Cricetulus griseus: one gene and its partner. The protein of the gene in region 2 binds, or shares a complex with, the protein of the main gene of each other region. Links are inferred from orthologs where the notes say so. Each region holds a gene or a part of one and is shown on either strand. Other genes may lie near its edges.

Region 1 (5,022 bases), on a different chromosome or scaffold from region 2:
GTATAGGTCTAAGTAGAGCTATCTGTTGGCCAGTCTGCTGCCTGCCCTGAGGTAGAGCCCTGCTTTGGCCTCGGCCCTTTCCCTGTGGCACATGTCCCTGGTAGTTGTCCTACCCTGAGGGACCCCAGGGCCCCAGGCTCACTGCCAGCCACTGTGCTCAGCAGCCGTCCCTCCACTTCTCTTGGTGTCTGCATGTGTCAGGGTACAAGGCACTGGGGACAGTGCTACTGAGGACTGCACGTGGGGGAAGGCAAAGTCCTGGCAGGATCCAGAGGGTGGTGTCCTCTTGCCACAGCCCAGGAGAGGAAAGGCTATGAGGTGAGGCTGGGCCCAGCTGAGGGGACCTCAGGGGCCCAGGCTTTTCTGGTCCCTTTGCTAATCTCGAATCTCAAGTTGTGCTGTGTTCTGCCCTGAGCCACCCCTGGCTTCTCAGATGACCAAAGTGACAAAGCAGAAGGGGTAGGAGAGGACACCTGGGTGCTCAAGTGGGCAATTTTATTAAAAAACAAAATAAAAAACCAGAAACAAAATCCAAAAGTAAAACACCAAACAAAGTTCACACAGGAAGGAAGGTCCTTGGGGCCAGATCGCTCTCCACCTAGGCATCCTGCTGCTGCACGAAGGGGTTGGGGATAGCCTCCATGCCATCCTGTGGGCAGATGAGCACCACTGAGGTGCCTCGGCACACCACAAGCCCCAGCTGCCGTGTGTCTTCTGTCAGCTTGTACTGGTCATCAGGGTCTGGTGGGAATAGGGGGTGACAGGCAAGAGGAACTGAAGACATGTCCTTTCCACCCAGCACTCCACAACCAGGACCTCAGAGGGCTGTCCCATCTTTCTTTTGGGGACTGACACACCCAGGCCCTGGGGTCTCAGAGCCGACTGTAGGCATGGATACTACAAGAACCCAGGGCAGATACTCACCCCAAGGAGTGGTCTGCAGGGGAAGCAGAGGCCCCGGGGAGGATGGACCAGAGGTGGAGACAGGGAGCAATTAGAAAGTAATTGTTGTGGGTGCAGAGGAAGGGACACTCTTTGGGCATTACAGGTACTATTCTGGAATAAGCTGAGATCCTATGCGTCCTGGAGCTGGTGACACAGGCAAACAATCCAGACAGAGGACAGTAGCTACTATTTCTGCCATCCCCAGGAGGGCTGAGGGGAAGGAGCTGAAATCTCAAGCCTGGGGCCATCATGGTGGGCCTGTCACCTTTCTGGTGATCAGGGAGGGACCTGCACCCTAGGTCAGCACCACCTGCGGCAATGTGACTGCACAGGTGTGGAGAAGAAACAGGGCCTGGTGGCATCCCTGGACAACCACAGCCAGCTCACCTCTCATGTACTCAATGGTTCCATCCAGCACCAGGTTGAGCAGTGGGTCAAACCCTTTCAGGATCCCGCTGGCTTGAAGGGAGAGATGGGTAAGGATGATGTTATTGTCCTCCCACTACAGACCCAGGCATGGGGACAGTTATCACTACAGAACTCATGGGGAGACATGTCCCTATGTGGTGGCCTGCTGACTATGACCCCCAACTCTCTTCCTACAAGTGTGGAAGGGGCCATAGATAGTGAGTTCATGGTGGACCAAGTGTCAATAAAATGTTATCATCCCCCAAACTGAATTCTGTATAGTTTCCATGTAACACAAAATAGCCTTTTTTCCCCTCCCATTTGTATGAGAGAGTATCATTTGCCCAGGCTGGCCTCAGACTCACTAGGCAACCTGAAAATAATCTTGAACTTCCCGATTCTGTGTTTACCTTCCTAGGGTTGGAATAGCAGGCTTGTACAACCACACCTGGTTTCCATGGTGTTGGAGATAAAATCCAGGGCTTTATGCACACTAAACCAACCCTCTATCCACCAAGCTATAGCCTAGCCCTGGTTGATTTTTGGAGACAGGTCTTGCCACATAGCTCAGACTGGCTGGAACTTTCCCTGATCCTGCTACTGGAAACCTCCTGGGTCCCTGCTACCTCCAGGCTCTTGAAGGGATGCCTTCCTTCCATCCCCCTGTTGCCTCCTTCTTCTATGTCCTCCCAGCTTTCTGGCCTCTTCCTTCAGGCTCCAGCAATAATGGTGTGGGTGCTACCGCACCTGGCTTTCTTTCCCTGGGACTCATTTTCCCCATCCACAATTGAGACATACTGGTACCTCTCAAGTAACAGGATGGCCCAAGCTTAGCCTTTGTTAAGAGTTAAAATGCCTGCCTTGTGAGGCTTTCCCTTGCTTGTCGCAACCCCGATTCTTAGGGGCCCTGTTGCATCCACTCACCTTCCCGGCCACCCTGGAACTTCACTCGGATGGTCTTGTCAATGTACTTAGATAGGTCCAAGATGCTTTCTTTCTTCTTTTTCTCTTTGTCCTGCTGGAGAGTGGAGGAGCTGAGGAGTGAGACCCAGTCTTCCCATATCCTTGTTGCCTGGACCCGGCACCCAGCGACTCCTTTTGACCATCCTGCAGCCCTCATAACTGTCTGCAAACTCATTTCCATCTCCCATGTTCCCCCAACTAAATTCCAGGTCGCTGAGTCTGCATCTCTCTCTATTCCCATGCCCCCTGTGTATATCCTCATGTCCCCTGCCTGCACCCCCAGGTTCCCGGTCTGCACCCCCAGGTTGCACCCCCAGGGGTCTGCACCCCCAGGTTCCCGGTCTGCACCCCCAGGTTCCCCCTCCGGTCTGCACCCCCAGGTTCCCCGGTCTGCACCCCCAGGTTCCCCGGTCTGCACCCCCAGGTTCCCCGGTCTGCACCCCCAGGTTCCCCGGTCTGCACCCCCAGGTTCCCCGGTCTGCACCCCCAGGTTCCCCGGTCTGCACCCTCCAGGTTCCCCGGTCTGCACCCCCAGGTTCCCCGGTCTGCACCCCCAGGTTCCCGGTCTGCACCCCCAGGTTCCCCGGTCTGCACCCCCAGGTTCCTCGGTCTGCACCCCCAGGTTCCGGGTCTGCACCCCCAGGTTCCCCGCCTGCTTCCCCAGGTTCCGGGTCTGCTTCCCCAGGTTCCGGGTCTGCTTCCCCAGGTTCCGGGTCTGCTTCCCCAGGTTCCCGGTCTGCTTCCTCAAGACGCCCGGTGTGCAGTCCCACGTGATTCCTATTCCTCCGCGTCCCTGTCTCCCTATCCGTCTTCGGGTGTCCGCCCCCCTCTCTTTGGTCCTCCTGTGCCCCCAGTTTTCGCGTCTACAGTCCCTCGGGGGGAACCCCGCTCTCTCCGCGACCCAGCAATGCTCACCGCCATCTTGCCGACCTGCGCTGCTCTGCGCAGGCTCCGCACCGCCCACTTCTAGCGAGGGGCGGGCCCGCGCACGCGCAGGGCCGGCGCGTGCGCGTCTCGGGGTCCCGAAGGCGTTGCCGGGAAACCTTCCGCCTAGAGCTGCGGCAGGACAGGCGGACATGGCGGCGGCGCGGCTCGCCGCGGCCCTGCTGCTGCTGCTCGCGGCCCAGGTGAGCGCCACGGCTGGTCGGCTCGGCTGCACCACTCGTGACCGTGGCCGAGACCTTGCTGTCGTCCCCTCGCTGTCGCCACCGCAGACTTCGGGCCGGGCTTAGCCCGCCCTGCGCCCCGGGGCCCCAACTGCCGCCGCCGCCCCTGCCAGCCTCAGTTTCCTCTTCTGCAGAATGGGGCGAGTCCCCGTCCTCCTCCCCCAGGGGCTCGGGAGGGTCCCCGGGTGCCTGCAGCCCTGCATCCCGGCTTCTGCTCCGTGACCTTGGGCAGGAGGGGTTCCTCACCTCTGGGTCAGTCAATGCAACACGCGGGGGACCCGTGGGGGCCTCCGGGTGCCGCGGGATGCGCCCCGACCCGGTGCCGAGGCAGGACGTTTGGTGAGCGTCGCTTGCTGAGACACAGTCGCATGCTGGCCTTGAACTCATTCTGTAATGCGCGCTGGCCTCCCACAAGCGCTGCAGCCCAGGATGGTCTCTTGACTTTGCCATGTTGCCCAGGCTGGCCCTGAACACCCTGTTAGTCTCCCAAGTGCTGGGATGCCAGGCCTGCGTCACAACACTTGGCTTAGTTGTTAGATTTCTTGTTTGTTTCTGTGGCATCAGGCTCCAGTCCCAATGGTTCGTGAAGGGCTGCAGCCTCGGGCACACGGGGCAGTTGCTGGGTTCTAATGCGGATGGCCCACAGGGTGGCCTGTGCACGTTATTCTATATATTCATCTTCTCTCATGGACCCTGGGTCTGGATCGTTCTTTCAAATACTTTTTTTTTTTTTTCAAGATTACAAAATCTTGAGACAGGATCTCCTTTTATAGCCCAGGCTAGCATTGAACTTGTAACTGAGCCTCAGCCTTCCCAACACTGGCACAACTGGCATGCTCTTCCTTGATTGGCTAAGAAGTTAAGACATTACCCAGGCGTGGCGTTCCTAGCCTCTCCACCATGTGGCCCACATCCCCCTTTGACGTTTTTGTCCCCACATCCCGCTCTTGGCTGGGCATGAGCTTTTGAAAGTGTGTCAGGGCTCCCCACCCTGCCAGCAGTCCTCAGCTCTCTCTGCCTCATTTTTACCAGGCCACTGGCCTGTCTGGAAGCCTCCGTCTTTGGGCAGGTGATGTCCACCAAGGCTATTCTTTTTTTTAGGGGGTGGTGGTGGTTGAGACAGGGTTTCTCTGTGCCTTTGGAGCCTATCCTGGAACTCACTCTGTAGACCAGGCTGGTCTCAAACTCACAGAGATCCGCCTGCCTCTGTCTCCTGAGTGCTGGGATTAAAGGCTGCGCCACCACCACCCGGCTCTCCCTGTCTTTTCTTTGACTTCAGAATGCCCCTGGTTGTCTAGTCTCTACTGGACCTGCCCTGGCCGGCCCGGGCCTTTCTTACTGGTCTATTTGACCTGATGGAGGGTTTTTTAGGGACAGACACTGGGAGGTTCTGAAGGATGAATAGGAGTTTGCCAAGGAGGGGAGAAGAAGGGTGCTGTGGGCAGCAGGTGCTAGCCCTAGGTGTAAGAGATGGTGTTTCCCCCGGGGATGAGCACATGATGCCTGGAGGTGGCATCTGTGGTGGTTCCCTACAGCAGGG
Region 2 (5,150 bases):
GGATAAGGCAGAAGGAATAGTTCTGACAATTTTTGAAGCAAGAGATAAGACTCTTGAGCCATAAACACAAGAAAAGGACTTCCTTCTGGCAGGGTCACCTTGGTAAAACTTCTTTCAAAATCAGATATACTCACCTTCCTTCTCTAGGACTCCAGTCCCTCCTCGATTCCTATGCAGGCTTGTTTTAAGTGACCTATTTTTGTAAGTGGCACTCTATTTCTGGCCAGAAGCCACCAAGAGGTCAAGTATGACAGCATCTGCTGTACAATGACTTTTTTCAAAGTTAACAATGGGTAAAGAATCGGGGAAGGAGGTATGGTATGTGTGTCAATTTTATTCACCTAGTGATATGCTAAGCATATCAGATCCAGTCTCCTACAGAGATTTTTTAAACTTTAAGGGGACAGGTAGCCTTGGCACCTAAACAGACTGAGCAAGCCTGTAGAAGAAGCATTCAAAGCCAGTGTCAAACAAAAGCCCTGTCCCAATCCCTCCTCAGCAACCTACACACCACAGGTCCAGCTACTCTAACCCTGCTAGTCAGTAAGACCTTCATGAATGACCAGTAGGTGATACAAGAAAGGAAAGCAGGGGCACTTGCTTAGAAGGCAAGACACCCACATCTACAAAGATGCCTGTTCAGACACAGATTGCTGTAGCTAACTCAGCCAAAAGGCTGTCCTTTGCTTTTTGTTTTTATTGCTTTTATTCATTTGTTTTATTTAGTGGGGCAGGGGCAATAAGCATATGCCACAGGATAACTTTTGGGAGTCTGTTCTCTCTTTACACTAAGTGGGGTTCAGCAATTGAGTTCGGGTTGCCAGGCTTGACCATAAGCACTTTGACATCAAGTTGCCTACGGTAATTCCTAAGAGCAAGTTGTTCTCAACCAAAGGTGATTTTTGTGCCCCACCCTCTAGGAACATTTGGAAATGTCTACAGACATTATGTATTGTCAAAGCGGGAATCAGACTCTAGTGAAGAGAAGCCAAGGACATCCCTCAACAGTCTACAGTGTAGAGCAGTGGTTCTCAACCCTCCTAATGCTGCAACCCTTTAATATAATTCCTCATGTGTGGTGACCCCAACCATAAAATTATTTTCATTGCTACTTCATAAATGTAATTTTGCTACTGTTATGAATCATATGTAAATATCTGCTATGTGATCTCCATGAAAGGGTCTTTCATGGACTCGGCCCACAGGCTGCGAACCACTGGTGTAGAGTCTAGTCCTTTACAACAAAGGACTATATGATGCAACGTGTCAACTCACAGAATGACTGCCACTACCACCTCCTCCCCTCCTCTTCAAACCTTATTTTCTGGTTTAAACAACAAGCAAGGTACTTTAGAATAATCAAGATGTAAATGAGAACCAGATGATGAGTACATAAACTAGTCACCTCTCCTTATCTGTGTATCCAGCCAACATCTAGTAACATGAAGTTGCAATTACAGCTCCAATGGTTTTACCTGTTACAGAGCTAAAGGGCTTTTCCCTTGTCATTACTCCCTAAGCAATATTCCATTGCAACCATTTACATCCTATTACACATTGTGAGTGATCTAGAGATGATGTGAACAACATAGGAAGACTGCATAGGTTATATGCAAACACACATATGGAACTTTGAATATCCATGCACTTTTTAATATTGGGAGCTCTGTACCCAGTCCCTCTCAGATACTGAGGGACAACTGTCTTACTTATCAGGAGTATTTTATCCCAACACTGAGAACCTGAAAACAACCATTAAAATCTTGAATGGGTTGGCATTCTAATAAATTTCTAGTTCTGGACACACAAAAAAAGTGACTTTTCTATTTTCCAGTCCTTCATTATAAAAGGAGAAAGCAAGCCAGGGAATTAAAAAAAAAATCAAATAAAAAAAATTCTATTAGGCCACCCTTCAGTGAGAGAAGACCTGATGCAGTAGTTAAGGGTACTCACTTGGGAGGCAGGTAACCTGTATTCTAATCTCCTCTGCTACCCATCTCACCTCTCATGGCCCCAGGCTCATCTGAAAAATAAGGGAGTTATGCTAGATGGTTACTGACTATGTCTTTCTGTTCCAGCATCTGGTTAACTTGTGCAGTAATACCAACACACACACAGTTAATACCAACACACACCGCACACACACACACACACACACACACACACACACACACACACACACAACACACACACACACACACAACACACACACACACACACACACGGGGGAGGAGGAGGGGAGAGACAGGAAGGGAGGGAGGAGGGAGGGAGGGAGGGAGAGAGAGAGAGAGAGAGAGAATACCAGTAAGCACGTGGTTAAGTTGTGCAGTAATACCAACACACACAGTTAATACCAGCTCTCTCTCTCTCCCTGCCCCTCCTACGAAGATTCGGCAGGAAAACCTTGATGGCAGAACGACAGGCATTACAATAAAAAATAACAATGCCTGAAGTAACCCCGGAACCACAACTGCTGGAAGATCCAAAGTTCAAGGCCAGACTGAGAAACTCCGTGCAAGTTTAAACGAGATCAGTAACGATTCCAAAGAGAGGCTGTACTCTGCTACTGTTAGAAACACAGGAGGCGTGTTCACGGATTTGGTGAAAGAACCGGTGTCACACACGAACGAGGTAATTTACTAACACTTTAAAGAGAACCAACCCGGCAACGTGCAAGAACTATCTAACCCAATGACTTCTCCTCTGAGAACTTGTCCAAGGAGATGGTGAGAAATAGAGTCAAGGGCGGGAAGTGCATCCCAGGATCGCATGGACGCTAAGATGAAGCCATCGGGGAAACACCGGAGTCACTTATGGGACCCAGGCAATGACAAAACAAAAGCAATGAATGTTAAAGTTACACCTGGCTGCATGTGTTTAACGTAGACAGAAGACCGAGTATTTCTGGTAGTACTAGCGGAAAGAGAAGCAGGCACACACAGGAGGAGAGGAGTGGGCAGACGGAAGCGCCCAGCAGGGATCCTTTCCCCGGCTCCTCGTGTCCTCGTGTGGAGGGACTCGAGCGCGCACGGAGGAGGGGGGCGCGGGAGCGGCGGCCGCCTAACCCGGGCTGACACAGCCGGCGCCCGGCGCGCGCACGGCAGGACCGCACGGCGCGGGAGCGCGAGGCCGCGTGGCCCTGACGGCCTTCCGCTGCTCGCAGGCCGGCCTGGGCTCCAGCCGCAACCCCGCCCGCCCCGGCCCTCCGCGGCCTAGGCCGACCGCTCCGCTCCAAGCACCCACCCGCCCCACCGCCCCTCCCTCCCGGGCCGCGCGCGGGCTCACCTCGCAGCCGGATCCGGAGCCCTCACAGGCCGGGCCTCCGCGGACGCGCGCGGCGAAAACCGAAACCGCCCCCGGCAGCGCGCTTCGCTGCCTCACCCAATCAGCGGCCTCCTTGCCTACGGCAGCCCGCGGGGACCAAAAGGATCAGGCCGTTCCATAACGCTCACTTCCAAGAATTGGTTTCTTCAGTGGTGAATTCAGCATCCAGGGGCTGAAGTAAATGCCGGTGTTCTGATGTTGCCGTCTTTTTTTTTTTTTTTTTGCCAGAAAATCGAATCAAAAGCAAAACAACCAAGAAAAAAAATTTAGAAGTAATCTTTTGAGATTCCAATACAGTAAAGAATACCTTAAAAATGACAGGAAACAGAAACTTACGATTAAAATAATAGGCTATTAAGTACCCCAAATAGCCTTAAATAATTTAAAGCAAATAAAAGTTAAAAGCCTCAAGCTCCCAACCGACTTCTGAATATTAATTAAATGTATGAAGTTTAAGTTACTGTTAGAGATTGTTTCCATAGCAATTTTGCTACAAAAATATAAATAATTTAAAGCAACTCTATTACAATGGCGCCAATTGTAAAAAGACATTACAAATTAGTTTAATTGGAAACAGCATGCAGATACCATTTAAGTGCTGTGGGGGAACTTGGTTGGGGATAATGCATGAATTCTTAGTGTATGCTGACTGTTTATGGAAGGAAGAGATTACAGGAAGACTTGATTCCTTTTTTTCTACACCCATGCTCTCATTTATATTTTACATTTATATTTTAATTTCTCTTTTATATTGTATTTAAGATTTATATTTTAATTGTTTCTGATGTTTAATCATCAACACAGTTATAAGACCTTCAAACAACAGCTACACACCCTGTTAGATCTTACAGGTCCTACAATGCAGAACTTTTTCCTGAGACAGAAAGTGGTTCCTCCTTTCCTAAGAGCCTCTTAGTGAATGGCGAAAGAAACAGACCAGTGACTGGTGCCACAGACAGAGAACTGGCTGAGATTTGGTAAGGAACAGCCATATCTTTCTATCCTCTGTAAAACCTCAGCTGACTCGAAGACCGTCAACTACAGACATTGATAAGACAGCATTTTAGGCTCTTGAAATGTAAAATATAAAATTAAGAACACAAGTAAAGTCACATTTAAATCAAATAACTGTCTGCAGAGAAGAAAAGTGCTATGCCCTGTCCCTAAAACAGGCTGCTTTGTAAATCAAACTGGAAGCTGAGGATTTGGCTCAGTTGATGGCATGCCTGGTGTGCATTAACATCTCTGGCACCACAGTGGTGGGCACAGCAGTGCACACCCAAGTGTGGCTTCAGGAGGATCAGAAATCCAAGCTCATTTGAGGCTACAAAATGAGTTTGAGATCAGCTGGGCTATTTGAAACCTTATCTCAAAAGAATTGTACTGTGTTCCTCACTGATTGCTTTAATTATCAAATATACATTACATATGTAGACTGAAATAAGTAGTAGAGATAGATTCAGAGCTGCTTTTACTGTGCCACAAAGCTGGGATGCAGCCATTGAGCTTGGCTGGTGAGCAGAAAGTGGGAAGAGCCTGGTTCATCTGCAGGATACTTGCTACTGTCTTCAAGGGCAACAAATGGTTGGGCCAACAAACTTATAGATATGTGGTTATTCTAAGAAACTTCTCAGCAGCTTATAACTGGCCTTTACCAAAACACCAGCCAGCCTCCCACACTCCCCAGGATCATCTTTTACTATATTCACAAGGAAAACATGTGCAAAACTTTTTCCACATTCTGGTTCAAAAGGCAGTCTTCAAAATCCTGCACATAAGTCTAACTTATTAAGGAGACTTTAATATCATAAAAATAATTGGGCAAC

The links. Proteins that work in one complex are often made in the same cells at the same time.
Region 1: Lsm6 (region 2) and Lsm7 share a complex: the UniProt entries of both Homo sapiens proteins name them as parts of the precatalytic spliceosome. The link is inferred for Cricetulus griseus from reciprocal best matches to the Homo sapiens genes LSM6 and LSM7.

What each region holds. Positions count from the first base shown.
Region 1 is NC_048598.1:101,633,794-101,638,815, forward strand, and holds Lsm7 (U6 snRNA-associated Sm-like protein LSm7), read right to left. Parts: upstream 3,302-5,022; 5' UTR 3,238-3,301; coding exon 3,232-3,237; intron 2,372-3,231; coding exon 2,278-2,371; intron 1,405-2,277; coding exon 1,333-1,404; intron 742-1,332; coding exon 599-741; 3' UTR 475-598; downstream 1-474. Other genes in the region: Sppl2b (signal peptide peptidase-like 2B), read left to right, coding at 3,393-3,443. UniProt on the Homo sapiens protein: Plays a role in pre-mRNA splicing as component of the U4/U6-U5 tri-snRNP complex that is involved in spliceosome assembly, and as component of the precatalytic spliceosome (spliceosome B complex).
Region 2 is NC_048596.1:154,693,189-154,698,338, forward strand, and holds the start of Lsm6 (U6 snRNA-associated Sm-like protein LSm6), read right to left. Parts: upstream 3,424-5,150; 5' UTR 3,286-3,423; intron 2,883-3,285; exon of another isoform or gene 2,864-2,882; intron 2,024-2,863; exon of another isoform or gene 1,954-2,023; intron 1-1,953. UniProt on the Homo sapiens protein: Plays a role in pre-mRNA splicing as component of the U4/U6-U5 tri-snRNP complex that is involved in spliceosome assembly, and as component of the precatalytic spliceosome (spliceosome B complex).